Arabidopsis thaliana: one gene and its partners. The protein of the gene in region 3 interacts with the protein of the main gene of each other region in a pairwise test. Each region holds a gene or a part of one and is shown on either strand. Other genes may lie near its edges.

What was found.
Region 1: the proteins of AT2G22180 (region 3) and ALMT1 interact in a protein complementation assay, tested with the Arabidopsis thaliana proteins (one large-scale study listed by BioGRID).
Region 2: the proteins of AT2G22180 (region 3) and PIN7 interact in a protein complementation assay, tested with the Arabidopsis thaliana proteins (one large-scale study listed by BioGRID).
Region 4: the proteins of AT2G22180 (region 3) and KEA1 interact in a protein complementation assay, tested with the Arabidopsis thaliana proteins (one large-scale study listed by BioGRID).

The regions. Positions count from the first base shown.
Region 1 is NC_003070.9:2,655,644-2,662,771, reverse strand, and holds ALMT1 (aluminum-activated malate transporter 1), read right to left. Parts: upstream 4,171-7,128; 5' UTR 3,973-4,170; coding exon 3,762-3,972; intron 3,640-3,761; coding exon 3,499-3,639; intron 3,366-3,498; coding exon 3,093-3,365; intron 2,999-3,092; coding exon 2,877-2,998; intron 2,790-2,876; coding exon 2,646-2,789; intron 2,334-2,645; coding exon 1,743-2,333; 3' UTR 1,462-1,742; downstream 1-1,461. Other genes in the region: BSL2 (BRI1 suppressor 1 (BSU1)-like 2), read right to left, coding at 6,208-6,294, 6,384-6,523, 6,618-6,753, 7,025-7,100. UniProt on the Arabidopsis thaliana protein: Malate transporter critical for aluminum tolerance. The STOP1 transcription factor is required for ALMT1 expression.
Region 2 is NC_003070.9:8,178,302-8,186,051, reverse strand, and holds PIN7 (Auxin efflux carrier family protein), read left to right. Parts: upstream 1-2,401; 5' UTR 2,402-2,645; coding exon 2,646-3,846; intron 3,847-3,923; coding exon 3,924-4,194; intron 4,195-4,284; coding exon 4,285-4,370; coding exon of another isoform or gene 4,371-4,408; exon of another isoform or gene 4,409-4,811; coding exon 4,812-4,969; exon of another isoform or gene 4,970-5,049; coding exon 5,050-5,126; exon of another isoform or gene 5,127-5,217; coding exon 5,218-5,284; 3' UTR 5,285-5,863; downstream 5,864-7,750. Other genes in the region: AST91 (sulfate transporter 91), read left to right, coding at 1-30, 239-324, 490-566, 662-814. UniProt on the Arabidopsis thaliana protein: Acts as a component of the auxin efflux carrier. Mediates the initial auxin gradient which contributes to the establishment of the apical-basal axis in early embryogenesis.
Region 3 is NC_003071.7:9,426,065-9,431,872, reverse strand, and holds AT2G22180 (hydroxyproline-rich glycoprotein family protein), read right to left. Parts: upstream 3,131-5,808; 5' UTR 2,905-3,130; coding exon 2,029-2,904; 3' UTR 1,732-2,028; downstream 1-1,731. Other genes in the region: PLAT2 (Lipase/lipooxygenase, PLAT/LH2 family protein), read left to right, coding at 4,131-4,205, 4,387-4,863.
Region 4 is NC_003070.9:281,175-290,967, forward strand, and holds the start of KEA1 (K+ efflux antiporter 1), read left to right. Parts: upstream 1-3,175; 5' UTR 3,176-3,461; exon of another isoform or gene 3,462-3,547; 5' UTR 3,548-3,606; coding exon 3,607-5,177; intron 5,178-5,277; coding exon 5,278-5,449; intron 5,450-5,542; coding exon 5,543-5,633; intron 5,634-5,822; coding exon 5,823-5,959; intron 5,960-6,046; coding exon 6,047-6,106; intron 6,107-6,220; coding exon 6,221-6,340; intron 6,341-6,467; coding exon 6,468-6,536; intron 6,537-6,614; coding exon 6,615-6,680; intron 6,681-6,912; coding exon 6,913-7,002; intron 7,003-7,226; coding exon 7,227-7,331; intron 7,332-7,418; coding exon 7,419-7,547; intron 7,548-7,707; coding exon 7,708-7,917; intron 7,918-8,062; coding exon 8,063-8,212; intron 8,213-8,364; coding exon 8,365-8,418; intron 8,419-8,543; coding exon 8,544-8,602; intron 8,603-8,853; coding exon 8,854-8,920; intron 8,921-8,995; coding exon 8,996-9,172; intron 9,173-9,264; coding exon 9,265-9,321; intron 9,322-9,403; and 4 more. Other genes in the region: AT1G01770 (propionyl-CoA carboxylase), read left to right, coding at 135-174, 264-362, 585-1,015, 1,310-1,316; PLIM2b (GATA type zinc finger transcription factor family protein), read left to right, coding at 1,745-1,879, 1,958-2,057, 2,140-2,162, 2,270-2,359, 2,639-2,908. UniProt on the Arabidopsis thaliana protein: Electroneutral K(+)/H(+) efflux antiporter involved in chloroplastic K(+) homeostasis and osmotic adjustment, especially during plastid division and thylakoid membrane formation.

The DNA of each region.
Region 1 (7,128 bases), on a different chromosome or scaffold from region 3:
GTATTTTTAATTAGAGGCAGAGACTAGTACTTACGTAACCAAGTTCTACTTTGGTGCTGATTTATCCGATATTTAAAAGCGGCTATTAGTAGCATACTTTAGTATTGTTCTCTTAATTTATTTCCGAAATTTCTATTAAAATTCCACGTCCAAAAGATTTTCTTTATGTAAAAATAAAATAGTGCTATCCAACATTTGTTTTCTAACCATTTTTAAAGTTGCTAGCTGTACATTTATAATCAATATTAAAAAAAAAAACGTAATTCACAACTCTTTCATTTTTCATTTAACAGAAATTTTTTATCTTTAAGAAAATAAAATAAAATTAAAACTCAATGCATTTTTTACAGGAACGTTACATCTAATTATTTCCGATTCTGAACATTTTCGGCGAGTGTAAGAAAATAATAAAATAAACAGTCTATTAATAATAGTTTGCGTTTTTGACATGAATAATCATGACAAACTCCAAATAAATAGACATTCAATTTGTCATTTTGTCCCATCGTTTCTTTGTTTCAAAGCTAGTAAAATATCCGTCCGTTTTGGGCATTCACATATGTTACTTTCACTAATATTTAGACCTACCTTATTAATATTCGACCAAATTGTCCAATTTTTTTTTTTTTTTTTTTTTTGTATATTGAACATATCCACTTAAATTCTCTTTCTCTCAACGAAAACTGACATCACCACTTCTTATGAGATTTGTTTTTTTTTGTCAACAAGAATCACAATTTCGATAATATCTAATTAAATATTCAGTCATTCATATTTCCTGAGTGAGATTTGAACTTGGAAGATTGTTAGATTTTTTTTTATCAACAAAGAAGTTTCGGATCTTATATCAACCCTCCACAGCAGAGAGATTTATGGATTGTAAAAAGTAATAATAAATGAAAATGTAGTATTGGTTAGAACGCGGAATTAGATAGCAGCTGGTGCTTTTTGCACCGAGTCACACTCAGCCTTGCCAATACCAAGTTGGCATCAACGTACGGAATCCATTAGCCATTACCCCAATCGTACAAGGCAACTTTATTATACTATAATCTAACCTAGCTAAATTCACACAATTTCCAGCTTTTGTTTCTTATATATATCCTTAATGTATTGAACGTACTGTATGTTTGTTACTTCATCGGCAAGTATGAAAGTTTGACTTTAGTGAGAAAATTTGTCACCTGAAACATTCTATTAGTTGTGCATATTACCGTATTGGTTTTGAGAATTGAAAGCGATTACAATGACGCTTTGGCACTGGCCAAGACCACTTTTGTTAACCGACTCCTCCTCTCACTGCGCCTGATCACCGCCTCCTCCAATGATAAATGATTTTTTTTTTCATACGATATATGTTTGGAATAAAATTAATTATATTCATAGAAAATAACAATCTAGAGTTTTTGCCGGACTTGTCTTTATCTGGCGCCGGTCTATGTTCTTTTATTTACTGAGGTTAGCTCTCTAAAACACCATAATCCAAAAATAAAACCATGCTATTTTTAAATTTTTTGATCAGTTGGATATAAAAATCTTTAAAAGAGTAACGCAAAGGAAAACGAAGACCAAGACTTTATTAAATGTGTGACCAATAGTTCAAAAATGATCAAAGGCGACAATAGTATTTGTAACAAACTTCAAATCTGAATGAAATACCCGAATATGTTATATACCGATGGTCTCGTCTCTATAATCTTGCGGGTACAAAAGACTGCTCCTCAAATAATGAGTTGAATTACTTACTGAAGATGCCCATTACTTAATGTATGTACATGTATTTCACCATCTTCATGTTTTTCATGGTTTGAGTTATCATCAACAATCTTTATGGCAACATGATGACATGAGTCCTGTGAACTCCCTCCACGTGAATCATCAACATTGTTTGATCTATCATTATCAACGTCATGTAAAACTGTGACAACATGATGATCTTCATGAGAATCTATTGGCATGGCACGACCAATGCTTCCGGAATCCGACTTCTCGTATAGCACGGTCGGCCTCATCTTGTTCTTAAATCTTGCAGCGGATGCAAGCTCGTGTACAGATTCCGAGATCTTTTCGGTTAAGTTAACAATATCTATGAGCATGGAGACAGTCGTCATCAATGAGATCATTTGAAGAGGCTCAACATCGTTCAAGATGCCTGATTTAAGTAAAGTAGAAAGAGATTTGCATGCAGCTTGTGAGTTTGAGACATGGATATCAGAAGAAGATGATTTTATCATTTGTTTTAGTGAAATGGACATTTCTTTCATTGAGTTTCCCGATTCCGAGCTCATTCTTCTTAATGGTGTTTCTAATTTCTTTTTTATGTCCACTGGGATCTAATAGAAAAAATAAGAAATAAACAAAGGGTTAGAAACACGTTAACCAGAAACATATACTACTATACATGTTTACACTAAAAAAAAAAACTATATAAACAAATTAACAGACTAAGAATTTCAACCTGATGTTATTTTTGTGTTTGCATTTGCGACATGTAAATATATATATATATATATATATAGATATATATATTGTATTAGATCAAAAATAGTTATAGCATAATAGCATATTAGTTTTTCTTCTTTTATGTATTTTCAAATTTTGTTTTAATTAAATATGCAAACACCTAACAAAAAGTTAGCGATTACCTGAAAATCTGAGTTGATGTATGAATTCAAGGCATCAATCCTGTAGGCACACTGCCGGAGTAATGCACCAACGGCAACATATTGTTTCCATGGATGCCTAAACCTAAATTGTCCATGAGGCGGTTCCCATTCTGCGTAATTAGCCTAAACGCAAAATATCAAAACAAAATCAATCCAAATGATTTCATAATTGTGAAGCAAGTAGGGAAAGAAAGAGAGAGAGTAGCCCACCAAAGCTTCTTCATCGCTTTTGGAGTCAAGAACACTTTTATATCTCTCAAGATTCTTTTTCCTCTTCTCCACTACTTTGTAGTCCCCCTTCTCTCTCGCTTCAAAATATTCGTCCCCAAAATCTGCCAATTTCACATTCACTATCTCGTATATGTATATATTTATGTTCTTGTAGAGACATAATGAGGAAAAGAAAAAGAGAAAGAAATAAAAAACCTTGAAGGAAGTGGGAGAGAGTGTCAAAGTTAGAGGCAAGGAGAGAATGTAGATCTTGTCCAGCCCAAACAGGACAGACAAAGATAGAGATAAGGATGCAACTGACTCCTCCAATCACCACTGTCGATAGTCTGCTTTCTGCCAAATCCATTATCTCTTCGTCTCTAAACCCCGACAACGATATCAGCGCGAACGTCAATATGAATATCAATATCCCATAATCGAACTTTGTCTTTACCCATGGGAAAAACCTTACGAACGTCGACAACGCAGCTGCACATATATCACAATACTAATTACTCATTGCCCAATCTTCTTTGATCTAGTCTTTAGCCAAACAATGATTGACCAAACGCTTGGAAACGCATGGTAATCTGAAAATGTAAAGAGTGTTATAAGGGTTTACCTTGCACAAAGACCAACATGACCAAAAGAATAGGTTCCACTGTTGCACCCGACAATCTTGCTAGTTGATGAGCTCCAATTCCTAGTCCTCCTGCTACTAATGTTGCCACTCCTCTATTTAGTCCTTTCCCAAGTGTAGCCCCTAAGTACACATCAAACCAAAGTTATTTAATATTATGGCCAAAAGTTTACAACAAAAATTCTTGCATTCTCCCTAGATATATCTACTAGACATATTCAAATGATAGAAACTAGATGACGAACCTACGGAGAATTCAAAGACAACAACGACGGTCATGACAGCCCACATTGCATTGATACCGAAGTAATCGGTGAAAGGACCGAAAGGTTGGTAATAATAGAAGGAAGAGACCAAAACAAGAGCAAGTCCCACTTTGAAAGCATGAATAATTCTTCTCGGGTCTTCATTCCCTACTCTAATCCCTTCTCTCACTATCTCTCTCACTTTCTCCATAACACCTTTTGATGGTCACTCAGCTCTCTCAAGTGTTTTCTGATTCTCTGATTACTTTCAGATAGAAAGAAAAGATGACTTGTTGTTTTTATGTACATGGATCGATGTATTTATAAAGACCAAGAGAGACTCTTGTTTAGGACTCATGAAATGTTATGTTAATATTTATAAAAAATTAGTGGTGCGTTGCACTTCGAGATTTCAGGGTTAAAGTCTTAAAGAAATGGAAAAGGAAAATGTAATAAAAAAACGGAGTCGAACCTAGCCCAGTAAGTTGGGCACTAGTTAAGCCCTCCCCTTAATTGGAGCGACGCGTGAGGGTTTTTATGCTGAGCTGGATTAGTTAGATGAACCGGTAGGAGTTGATCATGATATTAATTAGGTATTTAACTATCATACTTTAGTGAATTGTATATAGTGTATGCATGATACATTTTGATTAAGGAATATAAAAGATTTAACTAAACTTTTTCTTGCAGCTTCCCCAAATAATTTCGTTTCTGTAATCGACAAGATTAGTGCCCTCAACACTTGGGCTCCAATGTTCGAATGATCTTTGCCATCTACTTGTTTGTTCCCAACCAAGTGCATACACACCTCAACAAAATTTTGTTGTTCAAAGAAAACTTGGACTCTTTTACTGAGTCCAAAAAAAGGACTCTTACTGAGTTGCTTAGTCATTATTGTTTCAATCTAGTCTGCCACACACCAAAAACATAAAAAATGTCAACAAGTTGGTACGGACCCCAATACCCCGATCGTACAAGGCTTTTATTCTTTGGATATTTTATATGTATAACAACAGTTGGAAAAAATGACCTCAAACTCAGATGCGATGATTACAAGTTTGACCAATACATCATCAGGTTCAAAACTAATTGTTGATTCTCTAATCAAACAATTAATTTGTACTAAGGGATTTAGACAAATTCACTTCTCTCTTAGCTCACGAATAATCAAAGGAGAAGAACAAAGTTGCTTGAATAAAAAGCTAGAGTTTGCTCTGTAATAGTAGTCTCTTGTCTTAGGTTGGTCATGATCCTCTTAGAGGGCTTGACCCCCCCCCCCTATTTATACAATGGGTCCAACATACCAAAATATGATAAACTTCTAATTATCTTAGGTCTAAATCTTCATTACTTCTATTCTTCATGAGATCCTCTTCTCTTAAATGGAAGTTTTCCCTTTACACGACCTGAGAAGCCGCCTATGGCGATCTTGACTGTCGACCTAAATCTTCTGGCGAGCTCATGACTTAGGCCCATTAACAGACTAGCCGGGATACCCCGGTTCAATCGAATTCTCGATTTTATTCACGTTATTCCTTGGTTTAAATTGGTATTATCGGAGATGCTAATTCCTGCACCAACACTAATCAAAACTTTTTTTTTTTAATCACCATCCTATATCCAAAACAATATTAAAATTTAACCATCTAATACCCTCGAGTTTTAACTTCAACCATCTGATCCTCCAAAAATTTTGTTTTTTTTGTTCTCACCGCTAAAACATGATTTTTTGGAGCCAATGACAGCATCGATGCCAAATCACATCATATCGACATCACCAGTGTTTCATTTGAAGGCCACAAAGCACATGTATAAATTTATGAATCTCAAGCAAATCGAGTGACTGAGTCCATCACCCGAGGATCCATGAACCAACTCAAAGTCGCTTTCAAGGGCATAAGTTCTTTCTTTTCTCTTCTTTTTTGGTCTAGCTTAGACAACCAAAAGGAGCCAGGAAAATTTTTCGTATCATATAATCAACACAAATGTTACAAAGTATGAACTGACAATAAAATTAAAATACACAAAAGCCCCCCCCCCCCACGACATCAGACCATCCTCCACCTAATCAACCATTACCATTCTAAGAATTCATACCCACTCGCCAAAAAACTATACCACAAACGAAAACAACGGAGACAATTGAAGAGGAAAAAAGAAAGATATGACATGATAAAAAAAAAGAAGAAACAGCAGACTGAATAAAAATGAACGAGAGGACTAAAGCCCGGACAAATAAACTCTACAAATCACTACTAAACCACCACCAAAACTGACTTCTCTAACCTTTTAACATCTTAATTTACACACCCCCTGATATCTTCAAGCCTCATCGTTTCTCGTCTATGGCTCATCTTTTTCTGTACACATGAGGAACACCAGGAGGCAGATGTTACAAGTGTTTTTTGGAGCGGTATGTATGTGCACGAGTGCCTCTTTATCTGCCTCACATCCAAGCCAGAGAACCTCCTCGGTCATTTGAATTTTGTGGGCGTCCTCGGGTTGGCGTCGCTGGCCTATTTGCGTTCAGCTCCTGCGAAAAGTGCATACTACGCTAAGTACCAATGTTTCAGGTCAATAACTATGGACTAAGATTCAGTAATGAAATGAAGCAATATGAACCTGCATCCATGTGTCTTCTATATGTCTTTCTGGTGAAGTTTCAGGCGATGAAAGTGCTGGAGGTAACGGATGAATGAGCTTAGGTACCACTACAAGATCTCTCCCTAGTACCAAGATAGCCCCAGCATTGTTTGCAGTACCTGAGATTTAGTATAAAAACTATTAAGAAAACAGAAATAACCCCATCAAAATATCAAAATCCGGTTATGGCACTTAGTGAGTCCATGTACATACCACAATAGTTTGTAGCAGAAAAGAGCGTTATCAAATGCCCCTGAGCAAAACGCTCAAATCCATCCATTACGCATTCGTGTGCTCGTACAATCAACTGAAGATCGTTGTTGTTGCAGAACTCCATGACACGGTCAGGCTACAATTGCCAAGTTTTGGTGAGTAACAGAACAGGTAAAAATGAAAAGCAAAAGCAATTAACACTTCTTCATATGGTAAATTATTGGGAGCAAACTAGACTATATTCCTTGGTTTCAAGAAAAAAATATCATATATTCTTGGTCTAACAATAGCAGCACCTCATTGCACAGAATAAATATTGTGAGAAAAGAAAGAGATTATTGGTTTTCTGAAGGGAGGAAAAACGAAATTCAGACAACATAAAATTAAAACACAAGAAAATTACTTACCCCAAAAGTAACCAATCCAGGGCCTCTAGCATTGGGCCTTAAACCTTCGACACTGTCATTTTCAGTTGGATCCGACCTAACAAATCCAAATTAACAAATTAGTA
Region 2 (7,750 bases), on a different chromosome or scaffold from region 3:
TTTCGCCAATTCTAACTACCTCACTGAAAGGTTAGCTATGAAACTACGATCCTTTCTATATAGATTTTGGAAGTTCGGATACATTAGACTTTGATCTCTTAAATGTTTATGAACCCTGATGTTTATTAGATTGTAACCACATTTCTTAATACATTTTTTTTGTCAACACCACATTTCTTAATAGCTATGTTTCATTTACTAACATTCTCTGCTTTTGTGTTGCATAAATTTTTTGTAGAACATCTCGTTGGATTGAAGAATGCGAAGAAGAGGAAGCTCAAGAGAAGCATTCTAGCCTACAGTTCTTGATTCTTGAAATGTCAGGTTAGTCTTGATAGAATCTATTAGAAACCCGTATAGGAAATGTGATTAGACTTAAAGGCAAATTCACTCATTGCTAATTAGTTTTAATTTTCTAATGCAAAACCATAAAACTCAAGAAAACCAATATATTTCAACTAGCTAACTTTGCTTTTATATATGTTAAAGCCGTGAGCGGTGTAGACACAAACGGAGTGTCCTTTTTTAAGGAACTTAAGAAAACAACCGCCAAGAAGGACATCGAGGTAAAAATAGTTGTTTTCACAATCCGATTTTGTCACTTATCCAAGGAAACTAATTAGATTTTGATCTAAACTGGATATTTATTTTATGTGTGAAGCTTGTGTTTGTGAACCCTCTAAGCGAAGTGGTGGAGAAGCTTCAAAGAGCTGACGAACAAAAAGAGTTCATGAGGCCCGAGTTTCTCTTCTTAACCGTCGCTGAGGCCGTTGCGTCGCTCTCTCTTAAAGGGCCATCTCTCAGTAACGTTTAACTATAATTTTTTGTATCGGTCCAATATTGATATTTAACCGATGGTTAAATTTTTCTTTTTGTCTCTTTTTCATCTTTTAATTTCAGTACAGATGTAATATTACGTTCTTCTCTCTCTTTCTTCAGTGATGATTTTGGTCAAGATATGTTTGTATGATTTCGCCATTTTGTAGTTTACTAGGCCATGTTTAGTCTCCGAGAATAAAATTGATCTAGAATCGAATTGATATCTTAGCTAGATCAAACGGATGTATATCCAAATTATTTATGAAATAAACTGATTAAATAAAAAAATAAAAATAATATTTTTATTTAAGATAATTATGTTTTATAATATTAGAAAATATGACCAAACCATGAGCAGAATTGTGTTAAGAACTTTGCCAAGTTAGAGCTTACATTATATATCAAAAGTCAATGTGTAATTGTCAAGAGGGATAAACCGACGCGGATGAATCGAAGAAGCAATTGCTTTCAAGAAGACTTCAAATCAGCTATGTGTCTGCGATTATAATTGTGTAAACGTTATAAGCAAGAAATTTATCTCAAAATAAAACTGGTCTATAAATCAAATCGAATTGAAAATTTAGCTAGATTAAAAGATGAAATGAACTGATAACATAAACTAATAGATATTTTTAATAAGATGTTACTACTTTTGTGAAATGATAAAATATTTCTGAAGTTAATCGAATTCATTCAAAGCTATGATAACATTGTGACTTCTAGGAAAAAACAATTCTTGATACGGTCGCGGAAAGATCTTGATAACATTGTGACTTCCAGTCTTCCATATGGCATAAGGTATTCTTTTACACTAATACTTTCCCGACAACAACAACGAAAAACTCCAACCTTTTTTTAAAAGGCCACATAGAATGCATGATAGACCATCTGAAAGAAAATGGACAGGGTGGCTTAAAAGTGAGATTTCTTGGGATTGCATAGGATGTTATAATTAACCCTAGCTTGAAAAAAAAAAGACGATTAGACAATAAGAAATAGAATTTAGGTCAACTTAGTTCGGCGAATATGATCTTGCATTGCACCTTCTTTACCAATTTATAGTGATCTTTTGCTCCTTATAAGCACATGTTTAAATCACCACTACGACATTGTTTCTGTTTGGGCCAAATGCACACTTGTATTTTATCTCACAACGAGCTTATGAGAAATCAATCCTAGTAATACGTTAAGTGGCCCAAGAAGTTTTGGACCGGCATTTACGTGTATATAAAAAAATATTATGATTACTTTTAGATGAAACCACACTTAATTTCTTCTTTTTTCTTGGTAAACCACAATATCTCTTTATTGTTTTTATCAAGGATTCACAAAATTCATTGAATGGAAATTTTCATTTATGTGTGACATGTAGACAGTCAGTCCACTCTAAAAAATCTCAGTCAATTTCGTAACAAATTCATAACCTATTTCAAACACAATTCATAACCATAACTTATAAATACTACATAAATGATATTTCTTTATATCATCTTAAATGGTACATAAATTAGGGGAAAGCTAAGATATATATAGTATTAAAAAGTACAAAAATAGATAAGGTTTATAAATGTTTAAAGAAGTAATAAAATAGAAATAAGAACTAATTAGGTCGTCATGTGTTTGCTGTATAAAAAGCTGTAAAGGGACATCTCTCGTAAATCTAAAAATCATCAAATCTTCTCCTTCTCTCTCTCTCTCTCACACACTCACTAGCTTCTCTGTTAAAAGCTTCCGTCATCACATAGAGAACAGAGACTGACACTAACTCACTTCCTAACGGTTTCCACACTCAAAATTACACTTTTGCCACTCCGGCGAACAACAATATGATCACATGGCACGACCTCTACACCGTCCTCACGGCGGTGATACCACTCTACGTAGCCATGATCCTCGCTTACGGCTCAGTCCGGTGGTGGAAAATCTTCTCACCAGACCAATGTTCCGGCATAAACCGCTTCGTCGCTATTTTCGCCGTCCCTCTTCTCTCTTTCCACTTCATCTCCTCAAACAATCCTTACGCAATGAATCTCCGATTCATCGCAGCCGATACACTCCAAAAACTAATCATGCTCACTCTCCTAATCATCTGGGCTAACTTCACTCGCTCCGGTAGTCTTGAATGGAGCATCACAATCTTCTCTCTTTCAACACTTCCCAACACTCTCGTTATGGGAATACCTCTCTTGATCGCCATGTACGGAGAATATTCCGGCTCACTCATGGTTCAGATCGTTGTTCTTCAGTGTATAATCTGGTACACGCTTCTTCTCTTTCTTTTCGAATACAGAGGAGCTAAGATCTTGATCATGGAACAGTTTCCAGAGACTGGTGCTTCGATTGTATCGTTCAAAGTTGAGTCCGATGTTGTTTCTTTAGATGGACATGATTTTCTTGAAACTGATGCTCAAATCGGTGACGATGGTAAGCTTCATGTTACGGTGAGAAAATCAAACGCTTCTCGGAGATCTTTTTACGGTGGTGGTGGTACTAATATGACTCCTCGTCCGTCTAATCTCACCGGAGCTGAGATTTATAGTCTTAACACTACTCCAAGAGGATCTAACTTCAATCATTCTGATTTTTACTCTATGATGGGGTTTCCCGGTGGCCGGCTTTCGAACTTTGGTCCGGCGGATATGTACTCTGTTCAGTCCTCGAGAGGACCTACTCCTAGACCTTCGAATTTTGAGGAGAGTTGTGCTATGGCTTCTTCGCCAAGATTCGGGTATTACCCGGGAGGAGCTCCCGGGTCGTACCCAGCTCCTAATCCGGAGTTTTCTACCGGTAATAAAACCGGTAGTAAAGCTCCAAAAGAGAATCATCATCATGTAGGAAAATCAAATAGTAATGATGCTAAGGAGCTTCATATGTTTGTTTGGGGATCCAACGGATCACCCGTTTCGGACCGAGCTGGTCTTCAAGTTGATAATGGAGCCAATGAACAAGTCGGAAAATCCGATCAAGGCGGTGCAAAAGAGATTCGAATGTTGATCTCTGATCATACTCAAAATGGTGAAAACAAAGGTTTTTAACTTTTAAATTGTATTTTTTTTTGTAACATATGGACACAAATCTCAAACTGTATTTGCTTAAATTTGTAGCTGGTCCGATGAACGGGGACTATGGCGGGGAAGAAGAGTCGGAGAGGGTAAAGGAAGTGCCTAACGGACTACACAAGCTTCGGTGTAACTCCACAGCAGAGCTAAACCCTAAAGAAGCTATAGAAACGGGTGAAACTGTACCGGTAAAACATATGCCACCAGCGAGTGTGATGACTCGGCTGATATTGATAATGGTGTGGAGGAAACTCATAAGAAACCCAAACACTTACTCTAGTCTCATTGGTCTCATTTGGGCTCTTGTTGCTTTCAGGTAACTTAATCAAAAATCAACTACTAGTGGAAGTTTATTATTATTGTGAGATTTGATTAGAGTGATGATTATGGTAATTTGGATATGAAGGTGGGATGTGGCAATGCCTAAAATTATTCAACAATCAATCTCAATTCTTTCTGATGCTGGTCTTGGTATGGCAATGTTCAGTTTGGGTGAGTCATCTTTTTACTCTGTTTCTTTTTTCCGTTAACTCATTTACTTTCTTTCTATTTTTACGCCAATCAAATGTCACAACATCCACATTCGTACGGAAAAAATTGTAACTTTTTTTTGGTGAGGATTCCAATAATTGAAAATGGTTGGTATTTTTTAAGATTTTTTGGGATGGCCCGTTACGGCATGGACCATCCGACAGGTAGGGTCATTGATGCGACGTCGAATTATATAAACGGTCGTGGTGGGATGACATAGCTCGTGTTCTTGATTGTTGTCGTGGTCCCCATATTAAGTGGAAGTTGATTGGACTTACAATGTACATGAATGCATCATCATCATCATTTATTGGATTTAGATTACGTTTACATGTATTGCATCATTCAGCACTTGTTGTTTTGAGTGGAAATGAATTAACTGAAAATGTGAAAATGGTGAAGGGTTGTTCATGGCATTGCAACCGAAATTAATTGCTTGCGGAAATTCGACGGCGACTTTTGCGATGGCGGTGAGATTCTTTACTGGACCAGCGGTAATGGCCGTGGCAGCAATGGCTATTGGATTACGTGGAGACCTATTGCGTGTGGCCATTGTTCAAGTAAATTAAACTATTTTCGTTTGTTGTTAACAATCTCTTTGTAAGAAGTAGTTTAACCAAATCTTGTGGTAACGTTGTAGGCTGCATTGCCTCAAGGGATCGTGCCGTTTGTGTTTGCAAAAGAGTATAATGTTCATCCCGCAATCTTGAGTACAGGGTAAGTATTTCATATTGAACCAATAGTAAAACTTTTCTTATGCATAAGAGAAGATTACTAATATTGTTGATTCTTATGTGTATTATTGCAGGGTAATATTTGGAATGCTTATCGCACTACCGATTACACTTGTTTACTACATTTTACTCGGGCTATAAGCTCTTCAATGGAGAAGTTCTGCTTGGCTGAAGAGGATAAAGAGAAACAAGATAATTCCAAGATTAGTGGAACGCAACTAGAAAATGTAATGTAACACGAAATGTAGTAAATTTAAAGGGACCAAGATTTGATTTGAGGATCCAAAAACCCTTTTCTTGTCTATATATTTTCTAGAGATTATTTGAGAAAGAAGGTGATGGAATGAGAGAGACAAGAGGACCAAAACAAGGGAAAGCAAAAAAAACAGAGGACTAAGATTTGATTTGAGGATCCAAAAACGCTTGTATATTTTCTCTTCTTTTTTTATAAGAAGGGTAAAGCTTTGTTCATATATTTTGACTTGCAATAATTTCTCTTACTTTCTACTTTCATTTTGTTTAAAATTAGGTAGGTACGGTATTCATTTTTTGTTTGTTTTGTGTTTTGTGTAGGTTACTTCTTTCGACGAAAGTGTGTTTTTGTGGATTTTCCTTTCTCATCTAGTATACATTGCTCTCACAAAAGTAAGGACTGTTTTATTCCAATTAAATAAAGAAAATGACCTCTTAGTTAGCGATTAGGCGTGAAGATATATTACAATTGGTTTTATTTAATTTTTGTTCTTGTCTCATGACGTATATGATTATATTTATATTATAATTACATCAAAAGATATGAAATGAAGAAAATCATATGATAGAATTCGAGTAAAACCAGGAAAAAGATGCACCATTTTCTTACAATTCGGCTCTTCGTTATACATAATAAGGGGAAAATGAGTCCAGAACATCTCAACCCATTGAACTTTTAAATGAAGAAAACTAAACGTTTTACCAATTGAGTCACTTTATATTTTACTATTTTATGTTAGACATATTACTATACTAATTTGGACGTTGAGAAAATTTCTCTCTTTTTTCTCAAAAGGAATTTGTCTAGTATAACTTTAGATGCTGTTTAGACAAGTACGTCGACTTGATAAAGCTCTAGTTACCATTCAGAGCATTGGTTACCATTCAGAAGTGGGTTAGGCGCTTTGCACTCAAAACGCGGTGTCGTCGTTTTAGTAAGCTTTGTGATGTAAACACAAATTATATATAGAAAAATAAAAACATAAAAGTAATAAATTAACAAGCAGAAAGTTACTTAAAAGTCAAAAGCAAAAAATATGAAGAAAAGTAATAGCTGCTTTTTTGGTTTGTGTAAAAGTACTTTACTGCTTTTTCATTGTTTTCATACTCTTTTATTTCTAGGTATGTATGTTCTCAAATCTCCAATATAGAAAACGATTGAAAATGACCCTTTTTTAGGTGACGTAAAAAGATCATAATTTGTTGTGTTGCTGTTAATATCTTAAATAGAGTCTCCGACTATTACGCCTGATTTTGCGATGAACGAAGGACTAACCCATCCTATTTAAAAATTCTGTCAATATTTTATTGTTCACTTTCCTTATCTCTTTGAAGCTCGATTTAATTTGTAATCTAACCAGTTATGTGTGGTCAATCTGTGTGACCTTGTGTGTGTTCAACCAGTTATGGACCAACATTAAGTTTTTTTTTGGTTTTTGAATTTAATTCTACTATGAAAATTCATATTTTTGGTTGAAGTAGAAACAAGTAATTGTAGGTACTATAATATTACAGATAAATTGTACATCCCTAAGATTAAATATTGGTGGGTGGAGGATCGTTGGGTTCCGAAAATATGTGACCAATTTAAAGATCCATTGAATTAAATGTCGAAGTGGAAGGGAACATACCCAACTCTTATATAGTCCTTCTAGAAAATTGAAAAAAGGGTCTTCCAACAAATAATCTTAAATCACGGATTTGACCAGCCATTGAAAAGGTAACTAATTTGCTTAATCATCGAGATTAGTATATTTCGTTATCTTAAAACCAACATGCGTCGCATGAAAGCTATAATGAACTCCGTGCACCATGTATTTCAATATATACGACGAGAGAAGATATTTTATCTCTTGGTATTATCGAAAATGTCTTACGTAATCAGAAATCTTTATCGGTATAGTCGTCACATAAACAGATAGAAGGGGATTGTCTTAATAACATGGGGCGGAAATTCTGAAAGAAACAATATTTTATTTATTTTAGATATATAGATTTTGGTATAAGTTCTTACTAATACGTTTTTATTAAGAACTATTTTACCAATTATTTTTATCTATTATCATTTCTTCATTCCATAATTTCATAAAATTATTAACAAAAATTTAAGAATATTTTCATCCCCTAAATAGTTCTTTTTATAAATCTAATATTAAATTATATTCAGAAAAAATAAACGTTTTTACATATGAATGTAAACTTTTTTGAAAAAATTACATTAAGATTCTATCACTGATTTTGTGTCGATGCAAACGAAAGTTGAAAAAATTACATTGAGATTCTATCACTGATCCCGCGAATAATTTTATCTTAATGATTTTGAAATTCTGCTTCATATATTTTGTTTTTTAAACT
Region 3 (5,808 bases):
ACTTTTTTAGACACCAAAATTTAAAGTAACAAAAAAGGAAATTTTCTTTTGTATCGGAACTTTCGAATGTAGTGGTGTGAAGGAAAAGAGAGAAACACAAATAAGAGTGAGGCCTAGGCGTGCGTTCCAACCAACCGACCATGTGGAATTATATGATAAAAGAATGTTTGTATTTTACATCAAGATTGCAAATGTTTAAATTTTAAAGCATTAAATAGAGTTGGATACTGCGCTCATCCCAAAATGTGTGAAATTCAATATTAGCTAGTTAGTTTAGAATGATATAGTCTCTTGCAAAACATCATACATAAAATAGTATTTAATTTGATTTGTTTGGTACGCTCACAAAAAAAAATAGAATAAATGAATATAGTGTCTTGCAAAACATCATACATCAAATAGTTCTTTGATATCCTAACTATTATTACTGGTTTCTATACAATTTTATATATCCAACCTTTACCCGAAATGAAGAATTCATTTTATAATAAACTATAAAATTTGTCTTTTTATATTCTTGCTAGAAGATAACAATATTGTTGTCATAATTAGGACTGTGAAAATGGTCCAAAGGTGCCCTTAATAAATAATTGGACCTATTTGTTTCACTTTCTAGTGGAATATCTTTATACACAATTATTGTTTCTCCACTGTGGTTTCGCGAAAATGACCACTCAACCTTTTCTTGGTAGATGGTAGGGGTATAGAATAAATGATTCTTTATGTATATTCGATTTTTTAAAATAATCAAGTATATTTAAAATAACTAGCGCACAAAAAAAAAAGAACATTGCATTTTGAAATCTGCGGTGAAATATAAAAATATTTTTGTATAAACTTTCATAATTTGTATTTTCTTATTAATACATTCCACTTATTGAACAATAAGATGGTGAGGCCAGATTCTCGCAAAGCATTTCCGTTTATTAACACATTCGCCTCTAAACGGGTAGTTGCATTCGCAGACAAGTACCTCTATGGACTATGGCGAATTCGACGAAGCCAAAGATCATATATTTTTATGAGTCCTTTCTCCTTCAAAACGTGGCCTTAAGTTGGTGGTCCTCTACTAAGCTCGCATCTCACTCCTGATTGGATGCATATGCAACCCCACCTCGTCAATGGCACTATCAAAATTCTCAGCTTCTATCTCTTATGTTTGTTGTGAGCGATAGTGTAATGACTATATTCAATTTTTACCGTACGAAACAGTAAACCGTCAGCTCTAGTGATCGACAAAATAACAGATCGGGTCTCCTCGCACCTATATTTTAATATGACTTGTCTTCACGACCTCATTAGATGTTGGCTCGAAGGAAGAAGTACTGATCAAGATTGTTTCTTTTCAACTTCCATTCTTCTAAAAGTCTATTTGTTTCTTTTCAATCTTCATTCTTTTAAAAGTCTATCTTTTCTTTCAAACTTTTGAAATTCTCTATTAATTAAAATATAAATATCTTTGTTGAAGCTAAATTTTACATTCCAACAGAAAAAGAGAAAGTTAAACTAATAGAAATGTACAGACGGCACTTATTCCCAAAATGTAAGTTACATTTCTATAATAAAACTAACAACACTGAGAAATGAGAATGATCTTATCAAAAAGAGAATGATAAAAAAAAAAAGAAAAAAAAAAGAGGGAATGATCCCATCAAGTTTTCGGAGTATTGCTTGTACACACTTGGTCTAGGAAAAATCTTAGGAGGTGAAATGTTACTTTTGCATTTAGGCCCAATTATATCTTCTGTTTTTAAGAAGTTCTGACTAGTCTGTTTATTTGTAATCTGGGCTAAACTAAATTTATTTGTAAAAGCAAAGGTACATTTAAAAAAAAAAAAAGACGCTCACTCTATTGTGTTCTTCTTGTTCACGTTTTCTTTTGTCGCTCAACAATATAGAGTAAAAACAAAGACATTAGGGAAAAAAAATGAACAATTGAACATTACATAGAAAGTATGAATTAATTAAGCACATTGTTAACTCTAACGACACAATCATGTTATATATAAAATATATATAGAGCGAGTGTCAGTTCTTGAACTCACTCTCACAATTCTCCGACACAATCTCAACCTTCTTCGCATCTAATAGTCCCTTAACCTTAACATCACAAGTCACCACCACTTCCTTGTTCCGTTTGACCGGCCCTGCTTCATACTCAGCCTTCAGCTCCATATTCAGCATCAGAACAACCGGTTGCTTCGATCCACGAGGTTGTACAACTGCGTTCTTGGTCGACCCATTAAGCTTCACATTGACCTTGTCGGATCCAGATGCGGCCTGGGACAACCCCGGAAATTTCCCGCTCCCCAGGCTCTTATTCTTGTACGTTAAGGAAACGACCCCGTTCTTTTCCATCATGTAGCGTACTCCCATGTTAGACGTTGGATTCTCGGCTCTTAATGTGACCTCAAAATTACTAGGATTTACGGTCAATCTCTCGACCGCGAAAACAGGAAGAGTGGGGTTGAAAGCGAAATGGAGGATGAGAATGATTGCACCGAGTAAGAATCCGAAAATGACCAAGATAATGAAGAACCACAAAAGACGTTTAGAACACCCTTTCTTTTTGTTTTTCTCCGGGTTCTTGCTGCGTTTCTCGACGTATTTTGCATGTTCCGGAGGAGGGGTCCAATAGACTTGATCTCTCGGGACTTGGACAACGTACGTCTCTAACTCAGGGATTGAATCCGGAGGAGGAAGAGGCGGAGAAGATGTCGTTGGGAGTGGAGACAGATTAAGAGAATGATTACGCCAATGGTGTGAACCGTGCGATGGAGGATCTAAAGATGGCAATGCGGGGAGGCTAGAGGTTGGACGGTGCCAAACGGACGGAGGATCATCGGGTTTGTCATCGTCAGAGTCAGGGGCGGTGGCGGAAGGAGGACGCCGTGGCCCCTCCATCGGAGAAAGGTGGGAGTTACGAGATGTGTGGTGGAGATTGGTCTACAGAGAAGACGAAAGAGAGAGAATTAAGAGAGGATGCGAAAATTAGGGTTTGCATGGGAAAAGTAAGTGGTTGTTGTTGCATGACTCAAACTTTTGGTTGGTTTTGAGAAGATTTTGCTATTTAGAGTTAGCCAGCTCACCTTAAATTTCCCTTTTTCTGTTATTTAGAAAACTATATTACAGAACTCATATAATATAGTATTATGGCATTTGATGATGATCAACGAAGTTGTTACTTTTTGTTTACAAGATATCGATTTTCTAACATAAATTATATATGCATATAAGACATACATGAGTAAAATCTTAAAAAGGTTAGCACATATTGGTAATGTTTATCATGAACGAGTCTTATTTTATTTTGTACGTTTCGAACTAAAACCATTTTTGGGTGGTATTTCTGGACCAAATTTTCATTAAAGTGTTTTTTATTTCAATTCTCTTGCAACTTCTGTTTCTTTAGAAAGCGAAAAATGCATATATACGAATATACGTTGGGATTGACATGAACGGAATGTATGTATTTACACACATTAATCCGCAGCAACCGGCCATTCAAAATTATGTTTGTGGGCCTTGTTGCTGCTTCGCTGACAATACTATCCAAAATTTATTTCATTTTTCTTTCTTTGAAAAACACACAATCACTTAATTTTCATTTATAAATCAAACATATGTACATGAAAATATCAAGGAAATTAAAGGAAATCTTACCTTCATATGGTCGAAAGTTTTCTTTCAAAAAGCAAAAACAAAAATTAATGTTTCTCTAATTCTTCCCCGGCCCCAATCCACGTGAAACATGTTATGTTGCGAGCATTACACTGGAAACTGTTACATTACATTCTAATTGGCGAAAAATGAAGTGCATTTGTATTGTATCTCACGAAGATTTGCGTTTGTGACAAAAAAAAATATGCAATTTTTTTCGAAATCTGACAACCCATGCCGACCTGTCCGCCGAGTTAACGACGTGCTTATAGGATCCTTAAGTATTTTTATTCTTATTTCTTACTCATTCCAACGGACCAAAAACGACCACGTCATCTTCATACGCAACTCCCAAAACAGACGATAATTAAATCATTGAAATCTAAACTCTCATATACTTTAGCATTTTCAACATTTCTATTAATATTTCCATAGACTAGATCTCTCTTTCTTATACATCCATATCACCGATGATGCCTCGCCGTGACGTCCTCTTCCTCTCACTCCTCCTCGTCATCGCCACCGTCTCCGCTGTCGCATTAGCCGTAAGTTTTCCAAATCTGACTTGCTTCCTCTCATATATGATTTTGTCTAGAACTAGACACACACATTAACCAGATTTGAATATGTATATAATGACACAACATCAATGACATTAGTTTAAACTATTAGACTACAAACTTCTGTTTCTTCCCATTTAAAAAAATGACTTTCTTGATTTCACAGGACGATGAAGCAGATTGTGTCTACACATTCTTCCTTAGAACCGGATCAACCTTCAAAGCCGGTACAGATTCGATCATAAGCGCTAGAGTCTACGACAAATACGGAGACTACATCGGGATCCGAAACCTAGAAGCATGGGGTGGTTTAATGGGACCAGGTTACAACTACTACGAGAGGGGTAATCTCGACATTTTCAGTGGGAAAGCACCATGTCTTCCGAGCCCAGTCTGTTCATTAAATCTGACCTCTGACGGCTCCGGTGACCACCACGGTTGGTATGTTAACTACGTGGAAGTCACGACAGCCGGAGTTCATGCAAAGTGCTCGTACCAAAGCTTTGATGTTGAGCAATGGCTTGCGTCCGATACATCGCCGTATGAGCTCAGTGCTGTTCGGAATAACTGTCCAGTTTCGCTTAGGGAAAGTGTCGGTCGGGTCGGGTCTGAGATCCGGAAGACTCTCTCTTGGATCGTGTGAGAGTAGTGAATGAAATGTCAAATGTGTATGTGTGTGTGTAACTTGGAGAGTTGTTCTTTGTTGTCTTGTGAACGTGTGATGGCAATAATGAAAATGATTCGATCGAATAAAAGTTCCGTTCTTTGTTGTTTGTGAGATTTTTATCAAACATTATTAAGTTTTTCGTGTGATGAAATTAAAAGATAATTACTGATCATATTAAAAAGAAAAAAAGATAATTACTGGTTGATATAGTTTCTTTGTTTCGTTTTATTTTCACAAATAAACGTTCAAAGCTACAACCTTATGATTAATCAAAACTTTGCCAAATAGTATAAAAGATGGGCCCTTTTCACATTTTTCGATGTAATTTTAAACATTTAATACAGAGTGGATCTTCACAATTTTAATCATTTTTGTGCATGTTCAAAAAGTCAACAAGAAACTTACAATTTTGTAAGAAACATCAACGACATTAATTGGTATTGGCCTAAACCTCCTAATTAAGTGACATTTGGTTGAAACGGAACATTTCTTTGGGTCATACTAATAACTGAAAACCATTATCAAATGAATGACTTTAAAATTCCTCCTAAGGCACCATATAAATCTCACTATGCTCCTAATCGTCTTTTAAATCTATAAAAGAAGGTGTGAGCAATAAGTTCCTCAATGAAAATTGAAAAAGATCATCCCTGCACACATAATCTATAGAACCACAAAGCAATATACAAGCTAGACATAAAATAAATAGACAATATGCCTTTAAAAGATAATTACTGATTGTATAATATTTATTTACAAAGACTTCGTTAAGGTCAAAATATTTATGTCTAATCTCCATCCCCCTAGAACATGTTTTTTTCTTTCTTAATAATAGTAACTGTCTAAAAAGAAAGAATTTATGATTCTCATAAAAATTAGAAGAAACAGATTAAAATGGTTTTATTCAATCATATTAATTGA
Region 4 (9,793 bases), on a different chromosome or scaffold from region 3:
GCTTTACAGTAGTACCAAATCCTGTTGAGTTGAGACATCTTATGACTAGGGACAATGTATTGAAACTAGTTATTTGTTATGAGATTCGGGGTGGTCTTTTTGGTTTGACAAAACTGCTTGTAAATTATATGCAGTACCGGACACAAGATGGAAATTGTTCTTGAAAAGCGTTTGGTAGGTCGTCTCCATCAAAAAATTTAAACTAATATAGCCTTGCATCAATCAATTTTACGGATTCTGATGTTATATGTTTGGTTATCCAGGTCAGCCGTGAATCTGTAATGTGGAAAACTGGACTTCAGCACACCAACACTTCAGAGCCAGAGACCTCTGAACATCATTCTCCAGAGAAAATGCCAAAGGTTAGCTCGAGAGTTCTTACTAAACTAATTGTGATGACTGATAGATAATGGAAATAAACATGACCTGAATTCAAATTCCTTGGTGAATCAATCCTAGTGTGTTCGAACATCAAACTAACTCTGATGACTGATAGATATGTTTTACTATTTGAAAGCTGAAAATGTGAAAGAACTCTAACATGTGCATTTGTATTAACACCTTGTTATTACTTCCATTTGTAGTTACCTAAGGAAAATCCAAAGAACCTTACAATGAGAGGCTATCAATCTGGATTTCATCACTCTCCTGCTCCATCTGGCCAAAAGATCCCACTCTACTCTGTTGCACATAGCCGGGCTGGCGATAAAGGAAACGACATAAACTTCTCAATAATCCCGCATTATTCCCCAGATGTCGAGCGTCTGAAACTCATAATTACTCCTCAATGGGTAAAGCATGTGATGTCAGTTCTGTTATCAACCTCTTCGTTTCTGGAATTGGATGCAAAACCAATGGATGAAAATGTGTCAGTAGAGATATATGACGTTGAAGGCATTCATGCTATGAATGTTGTCGTACGGAACATATTAGATGGTGGAGTCAACTGTTCCAGGAGGATCGACCGACACGGAAAGACAATCTCAGATCTCATCTTGTGTCAACAAGTTGTGTTGTAAGACTACTTTAACTTTGCATATCAGATTTTTCTATTCAAATTCTGTGGTAATATGTTAATAAAAAGGGAGACTTGAACTACACTATAGTTCTAAAAGATAATAGAAAAAGAAGGAATCGACTTAGTGGTGCTTCACTTTCTTTTACTTCTATACATTAAAATTACTTTAATTTACAACTGGATATCTTGATAGATACGCATACAGATAAGTATTAAAAGCATTGTTTTGATTGAGAGAGAATGATATTATATATTTGTGTAATGTTAGGTTGTTGTTATATTCTTTTGCAGGATCTGACTGACATGGGTTGCACCACCTCAGAGACAGTTGGCTTAAAGTAACAATCCCTTATTGGATTGAAATTGTCAGAAACCACAACCCTTCTTTTGCTCAACTCCAATCACTTTGCCACCCAATTTTATCTCATTCATTTTGCAAAAAAGATCAAAGAGAGAGAGAGAGAGAGAGAGAAAGAAAAAAAGGAAAAAACCTTCCTCCGTTACAACCTCACAATTGCAACAAAGTTTCATATAAAAGAGGACAGAAATTTCGCAGGTTCCTCCGTTGTCTGAGGTAAAGGTTTCCTTCTTTAACTAATTCCTCAGATGACCTCTTGATTTGTTGGAAAAAAAATTAAAAAATCTGTTTCATACAGGATCTTGGAGAAGGAAGGAAACAACAACAACCAAAAAAAAACCAAAAAAAAAAAAGATAAAACAAAAAAAATGTCTTTCACAGGAACTCTCGACAAATGCAATGTTTGTGATAAGACAGTCTATGTGGTGGACATGTTGTCCATTGAAGGAATGCCTTACCACAAGTCTTGCTTCAGGTGTACCCATTGCAAAGGAACCCTTCAGGTGCACTCATTACTCATTTTCTTGTTAGATCTTCTATGATCATATTATATCAACAATTTATCTATGTGTTGATGGCAGATGAGCAACTATTCCTCCATGGACGGAGTTTTGTACTGCAAGACTCATTTTGAGCAACTCTTCAAGGAATCTGGCAATTTCAGCAAAAACTTTCAACCAGGTTCGTATTATAAAATCTCTGACATCGAATCTCTCTATCTTTCAAATCATCATGATCATAACAAGTCTCTTTCTTTTCTCAGGAAAAACTGAGAAGCCAGAGCTGGTAGGTTCATCATTACATGTCCTTGTATATGATTAGCGTGTCAATATTTCATTTTCTTTCTTTTATGATCGACTAATAGGATCTGTGTACTGATTTAAACATTACAGACTAGGACTCCCAGCAAGATATCTTCCATCTTCTGTGGAACACAAGACAAGTGTGCCGCTTGCGAAAAAACTGTTTACCCTCTTGAAAAGGTTAGTGGTATACGCATCTGCAAATGTTCTCATGGCCTAAAATACCAACGAACTAGTCTCGTAGAGAAATTTATTTGCTCTAGAATTTGTTTTTTGTTTTTTCATTTCCGTAGAATTTTTCTGTTCGGATAAAATCATTACTAGATCAAATGGAAATAAAATTTTGATTTTGGTTTGGTTTAGTATACTTTTGGTTCGATTTGAGAACGTGATGTTGGTTGGTCCAAGCAAATGTGGAATCAATTTTGGCTTGGTTCTAATCGGGTTATTTGGTAACAGATACAAATGGAAGGAGAATGCTTCCACAAGACATGTTTCCGGTGCGCTCACGGTGGGTGTACGCTGACTCACTCCTCCTACGCCTCCTTAGATAGCGTTCTCTATTGCCGACATCACTTTAACCAACTCTTCATGGAGAAAGGAAACTACGCTCACGTCCTCCAAGCCGCCAATCACCGTCGCACAGCCTCAGGCAACACTCTTCCACCGGAACCTACCGAAGACGTCGCCGTGGAGGCCAAGGAAGAGAATGGCGTTTCAGAGTCTTGAATATCTCTTACATGAGTGTTTTTGAGTGAATGATTGAATGAATGTTGTTGCGGGGGAAAGATTTGATTTCATTTGTAATGAGTTGTTTCCATATGAAGACATGATTTTTTTTGTTATTTTTTTAATTCATTCGTTATACATTTATTATTACACACGAAAAAAAGGCAAGAATTGATGTTTTTTCACTCTATGTGTGCTGCTTATGATATGCTTTCCGATGGTGATGATGATATTCGATGTAATATCTGTTCGGTTCAAAGATACCAAACTACTTATATACCGGATCAAACCAAGTGGTTATCGGGTGATGTGAATCATTCATTATTTCGTTAGGTGAGAGAGGGTGTTTTCGTAAAAGTATCTAAAAACGGCCTTAGCAATGATGTCTGGTTGGCGAGAAACTCAAAAAGGAGGAGACAGAGAAAGTTGTTTGACTGGGAAAATTTGAAGAGACGAGCCAAAATTATCTGTTTGAAACGAACGGAATTGAAGACGAGAGCCACTCCTTTCCGTTTCCACCTTTCTTCCATTCTTACTCAACTTTCCATGATTGGTTAGCCTCTCTATCTGTCCGTGGCTTGTCGTTGATTTTTTTTATCTTGGTCGTCTGAATGTGTGGAATTTCGTTTTGCTTCACAGGAGTTGTATATAAGGTTCGAGGAATAAAGTAAGGCTACTTTTTTTATTTGATTTCCGATATGGAGTATGCGTCTACTTTTCAAAGGCCGATTCTATTCCATGGTGGAGATGGTGCGAGTTACTGCTTTCCAAATCGATTGATAAGTCCTAAAGGAATCAGCATTACATCTGGGGATTCTAAAGTGCATTCGTGTTTTCGATTGAGGAGAAATGTAGCACAAAGTGGTACATTGAATTTGATGAATGCGTGTTTCTCTGGAAGGTTTTATAGTGGTCATTTGCATTCTACAAAATCAATACTTGGCAATGGCCACCAAGCCAAAAGAATCCCTTTTGGATTTAGGTTACGTTGTCAGGGTCATGAATCTCTGGGTAATGCCGATAGTAATGATCATCGGATCGGGGAATCTTCCGAAAGTAGTGATGAAACTGAAGCTACAGATTTGAAAGATGCGAGAGTGGAAAACGACACTGATAGTTTGGAGGAACTCAAGGAGTTACTACACAAGGCAATTAAAGAATTGGAAGTTGCTAGGCTCAATAGTACCATGTTTGAGGAAAAGGCTCAGAGAATCTCAGAAAGAGCCATAGCACTCAAGGATGAAGCTGCTACTGCTTGGCTTGACGTAAACAAAACCCTTGATGTCATTCGAGATACTGTTTATGAGGAGGCTCTTGCTAAAGAAGCTGTTCAAACGGCTACTATGGCCCTGTCTCTGGCTGAAGCTAGGCTTCAGGTTATAGTGGAATCACTTGAAGCTGGTGCAGGGAATGATATTCCACATGTGTCTGAAGAGACTGAGGAAACAATAGATGTTAATGATAAAGAAGAAGCTCTTTTAGCTGCCAAGGATGATATTAAAGAATGCCAAGTTAATTTAGATAATTGTGAGTCCCAACTGAGTGCTTTGCTGAGCAAAAAAGACGAGCTGCAAAAGGAAGTGGACAAGTTGAATGAGTTCGCTGAGACAATACAGATCAGTTCGTTGAAAGCCGAGGAGGATGTTACCAATATTATGAAATTGGCTGAACAAGCTGTAGCATTTGAGCTTGAGGCTACTCAACGCGTTAATGATGCAGAGATTGCTTTACAGAGAGCAGAGAAGTCTCTCTCCATTTCTCAGACCCCAGAGGAAACTCAGGGCCAACTCTCGGATGAAGAAACTTCTCAGGAGGATGCGATGGTACTTTCAGGTAACGTTGAAGATGTTACCCATCAGGTTGAAAAAGAATCACCTAAAGATGGAGATCTACCAGTGGTACAGATCACAGCTGAACTTGTGCCTGATATAGTTGGTCAGAGGAATAAAAAACTAACTCAGCCTTATGAGTCAAGCGATCATGAGAATGGAAAGCCAAGTGTAGAGTCTTCTAAAGTGGTTGAAGCAGATTCTGAAAAGCCAAAGATTAATGTTCAGACAAAAAAACAGGAAACTCAAAAAGATCTGCCAAAGGAGGGTTCCTCTCTTAATTCTCCCAAGGCATCGTTTAATAAATCCTCCCGTTTCTTTTCTGCATCTTTCTTCTCTTCTAATCCAGATGGGACCGCGACAGTGTTTGGTAGTCTGGTTGGTTCTGTCAAACAGCAATGGCCCAAACTAGTTCTTGGGCTTGCTCTTCTTGGAGCAGGGTCAGTTTGAAAATTTACTCTTCTTTGCTTCGAGTTTTGAAGAATCATTTTTGTACAGAAAGTTCTCTTTTTGTTGATACGAGCTTCTTATTCGTTCCAGACTGACATTATACTCCAATGGAGTAGGGGGGAACAACCAGTTGCTTCAACAGCCAGATGTTACCAGCACTAGTACAGAAGATGTCTCTTCAAGTACGAAGCCACTGATCCGGCAAGTGCAGAAACTTCCCAAGAGAATTAAGAAACTACTTGAGATGATCCCTCACCAGGAGGTATGAACAATTGTTCTTGTTTTTTTTTTTCTTTTACGAAGTGCAAATTGTATGGAATGTACTTTGCAGGCTGAAACTTTCTGCAATTAATAGGTCAATGAGGAAGAAGCTTCCCTCTTTGACTTTTTGTGGTTACTGCTAGCAAGCGTCATATTTGTGCCTCTATTTCAGAAAATTCCTGGAGGTAAGTAGTATTTTTTTTTCTTCTTTTGTTAATTCTATCCATTGCATTACTATTTGTTTCCCCTTTCCCTCAAACTCCTACAATTTCTATGTTCTCATCAGTCAAAAACATTTTCAGTTCTGGTCTCGCAATCATGTTGCATAGAGATTTATGTGCCATCTTGATGGCTTCATCTGCTGCAATGTATAGGCAGCCCTGTTCTTGGGTATTTGGCAGCTGGAATTCTGATTGGTCCGTATGGTCTTTCGATAATCCGTAATGTGCACGGAACCAGGGCCATCGCAGAATTTGGAGTAGTTTTCTTGCTTTTCAACATCGGCCTTGAGGTATTATTTGATATATGTGTATGCTACCTTTTTGCTTTTGAACTGTGTTTGGTAGAAGAGCCAATATTTTGTTTATTTCTTTGACAGCTATCTGTTGAAAGACTGAGTTCCATGAAGAAATATGTTTTTGGATTAGGCTCAGCTCAGGTGATTTAAAGATCCGTGTATCTCATTCCACATCATTTATCAACTACAATGCCTACATGCTTGATGTTTCTTTTTCCATCTACTTTAATCTCTACTTCTATTGCTGTAATCTAGGTTCTGGTGACGGCAGCAGTAGTTGGATTGCTTGCCCATTATGTTGCTGGTCAGGCTGGTCCAGCAGCAATAGTGATTGGAAATGGCCTGGCTCTGTCGTCCACTGCTGTTGTCCTTCAGGTAACATTTTTGGTTGTATTCAAAAAGGGATCTTAATTAAAGGAATTTTGTAGCATCCCCTTAATTTTTTTTTTAATGCAATTACGCTACCAGTTGGTTGAACAGAAACAATGCACTTGGTTTTCAGGTTCTACAAGAACGAGGCGAGAGTACATCTAGACATGGAAGGGCTTCATTTTCCGTCTTGCTTTTCCAGGTTTGTTCAGGAAAAAGTTAATTATATACGACAACTATGCTGGGCATTTCTCATCAGTTTGTTATTTTTTCTTCACAGGATCTAGCTGTAGTTGTTTTACTGATTCTCATCCCACTTATTTCACCTAATTCATCGAAAGGAGGGGTAAGCTCATCTCTAGGGTTCCTTCTTTTTCTTGAGTATGGCTTGCTTTTCTGTTCGATAATGTCTAAGTAAGAGGTTTGATAACGTCTTTGGTCTCTTAAGAAGAAACGTTGTGGTCATATGTTGCTATTACTGGTTGAAATTGCTGGTATGCCAGATATTTCTATATACTCAAGGAAGTCTAGGAAATATCAGTGGTCGCAAAATGCTAAGTTTCTACTGCTCTTTTCAGATTGGATTTCAAGCCATTGCTGAAGCTCTTGGGCTTGCTGCAGTCAAAGCAGCAGTGGCTATTACTGCAATAATTGCTGGTGGCCGTCTAGTGAGTCTCAGATACTTTAACTTTTGAGGGTTCAGATATCAAAATAAGTTAATTATTACCAAAGTTGTTAGGTGAAATGTTTTAGATTTGCTACAAAAGGAAGAGGCATGTTTCCATGAACTAATCATGAAAGTTAACTGTGCTATCACTGCTACTTCCGGTACTCAATTTATATGTTTCAATGGAGTTATAATATAAGGAATTTACACTCTTGTTGCATATAGCTTCTTCGACCAATCTACAAGCAAATTGCAGAAAATCGAAACGCCGAGATATTCTCTGCCAACACGCTTCTCGTTATTCTTGGGACTAGTTTACTGACAGCTAGGGTATGACCGTGACCTTGTTGGCATTGAGTAGTTTACTGACATGCCAGTACTTCCCGTCTGCTAATTTTTCCAGTTTCTATAAATCAGGCTGGACTTTCCATGGCATTAGGAGCGTTTTTGGCTGGTCTACTCCTTGCAGAGACAGAATTTTCGTTGCAAGTAGAATCAGATATTGCTCCATATCGTGGTCTTCTGTTGGGACTCTTCTTCATGACGGTAATATGAGTTTCCTAATAACTTTTTCCATAGTTTATCATTTCTGAAAAGAATGAGGAACTATAGATGGAAAAGGAAACCTTTTACTTGTGTTCTAGTAAGATCCTGATATTGTTGTCAACTGTAAGCAAACTAACAAAAAGAGTTCCATTGATTTCAGGTTGGAATGTCAATTGATCCGAAATTACTTCTCTCCAACTTCCCTGTCATAGTGGGAACTTTGGGACTCTTGATAGTGGGCAAAACTATGTTAGTCGTGATTATGGGAAAATTGTTCGGCATATCAATAATATCTGCAATTCGGGTCGGTCTACTATTGGCCCCAGGCGGAGAGTTTGCATTTGTTGCTTTCGGAGAAGCTGTTAATCAGGTTTGTTATCAACATGGCGTATTTTTTTGCTTTTTTCCAATGAGGTATATAATCAGCAATGTTGTTTTAATGGTTTACCCTTACACATTACATATATTTCTGTCAACTGTTTTTCCCTAGAAGGCCTAATCTGTGGTTCTTCCAGGGTATAATGTCTCCTCAGTTATCTTCGTTGCTATTCCTTGTCGTGGGAATCTCAATGGCTATCACACCCTGGTTAGCTGCTGGTGGCCAGTTAATTGCATCTCGTTTTGAGTTGCATGATGTTCGAAGTTTATTGCCCGTCGAGAGTGAGGTAGGAATCTTAATGATTCAAATATAGAATTTACCTCTATTAGGCAATAATTTATCAATCATGGAACCACTTGTAGCTCACACATTCTCTAGTTGAGGAAATCATTACAAGGCCGACTGATGAGAATTTTTCTTGTCTGATTTTATTTGCAGACAGATGATTTGCAGGGTCACATAATTATTTGTGGATTTGGTCGAGTTGGTCAGGTTTATATATTATCTGAACTTCTTCAGTTTATGCTCTTATATGAGAACCTCTCTGTAGACATTCAGCTTCACATGATAGCTCGAAGTTTCTAACCTCGTGACCATTTTCTGTTTGTTAATTGTAGATAATTGCTCAACTTCTCTCGGAAAGACTTATCCCATTTGTTGCCCTTGATGTCAGCAGGTAACATAACATTGCTTATTCTTTGCCTCTATTGTTGAAGAATCTTTGTGGGCTAAAGTGGTTTCAAATATTTTGTTCTCGTATCGAACCGAAAATGTGGGGACTATCAGTAACTTCCACACTCAATGAGATAACATTTCAACCTATCTGATTTATAAGTCTTTTTTCAAGACTCTTTGTATTGCACCAACCAGTTTCCATACCTCTTCCTCGCATGCTATGCTTACCTGAAAACCTCCTTTTTTTTACAGTGATAGAGTGACTATCGGGCGTTCCTTGGATCTTCCTGTTTATTTCGGAGACGCTGGTAGTAAAGAGGTAGGTACACACAAAAACAGAAAAATATAGATTACACCAGCATGTGAATATTACTTCACTTGTGTGAACAAACAGGTTCTCCACAAAATTGGAGCTGGGAGAGCATGTGCTGCTGTGGTTGCCTTAGACGCACCAGGAGCAAACTACAGATGTGTTTGGGCTTTGAGCAAGTTTTACCCCAATGTCAAAACTTTTGTCCGTGCTCACGATGTTGTTCATGGTCTTAATCTAGAAAAAGCCGGTGCTACTGCAGTAATACTCACAGACCCCTTCACTCTCATCTAGACTATAGATATGCTTTGTCAATCGTACACTAATAATACCTCGATCACAAAAACTTTTAGGTTGTCCCGGAGACTCTGGAGCCTAGTCTACAGTTGGCAGCTGCTGTTCTTGCTCAGGTAAAACATAAATGTTTCCTTATTTAGTTGAAGTAGTAATCCTAAACAGTGTATGATCATTTTTTGGGTTGAAACATGTCAGGCAAAATTACCGACATCGGAAATTGCAAACACGATTAACGAGTTCAGAACCCGTCACTTGTCTGAACTGACCGAGGTGTGTTTCATTGTCGATATATCCATCTATATTTATCAGAATCTGGTTTGGTCTGATTGATGTGTATTGGGAAATGGTGTAATGATAATGGCAGCTATGTGAAGCAAGCGGAAGCTCTCTAGGCTATGGGTACTCTAGGACGAGTAAGCCTAAACCTCAACCATCGGATGCATCTGGCGATAACCAGATAATCGAAGGAGGCACAGTCGTAATCTGATGACGTTCTCCATTCTGGTGAGAAAAAGAAGAGTATTTCTCCTTTGGTGTTCTTCTTAAACCACCATCACCAACTTGGGTTGCAGTGCGTGGTGAAGT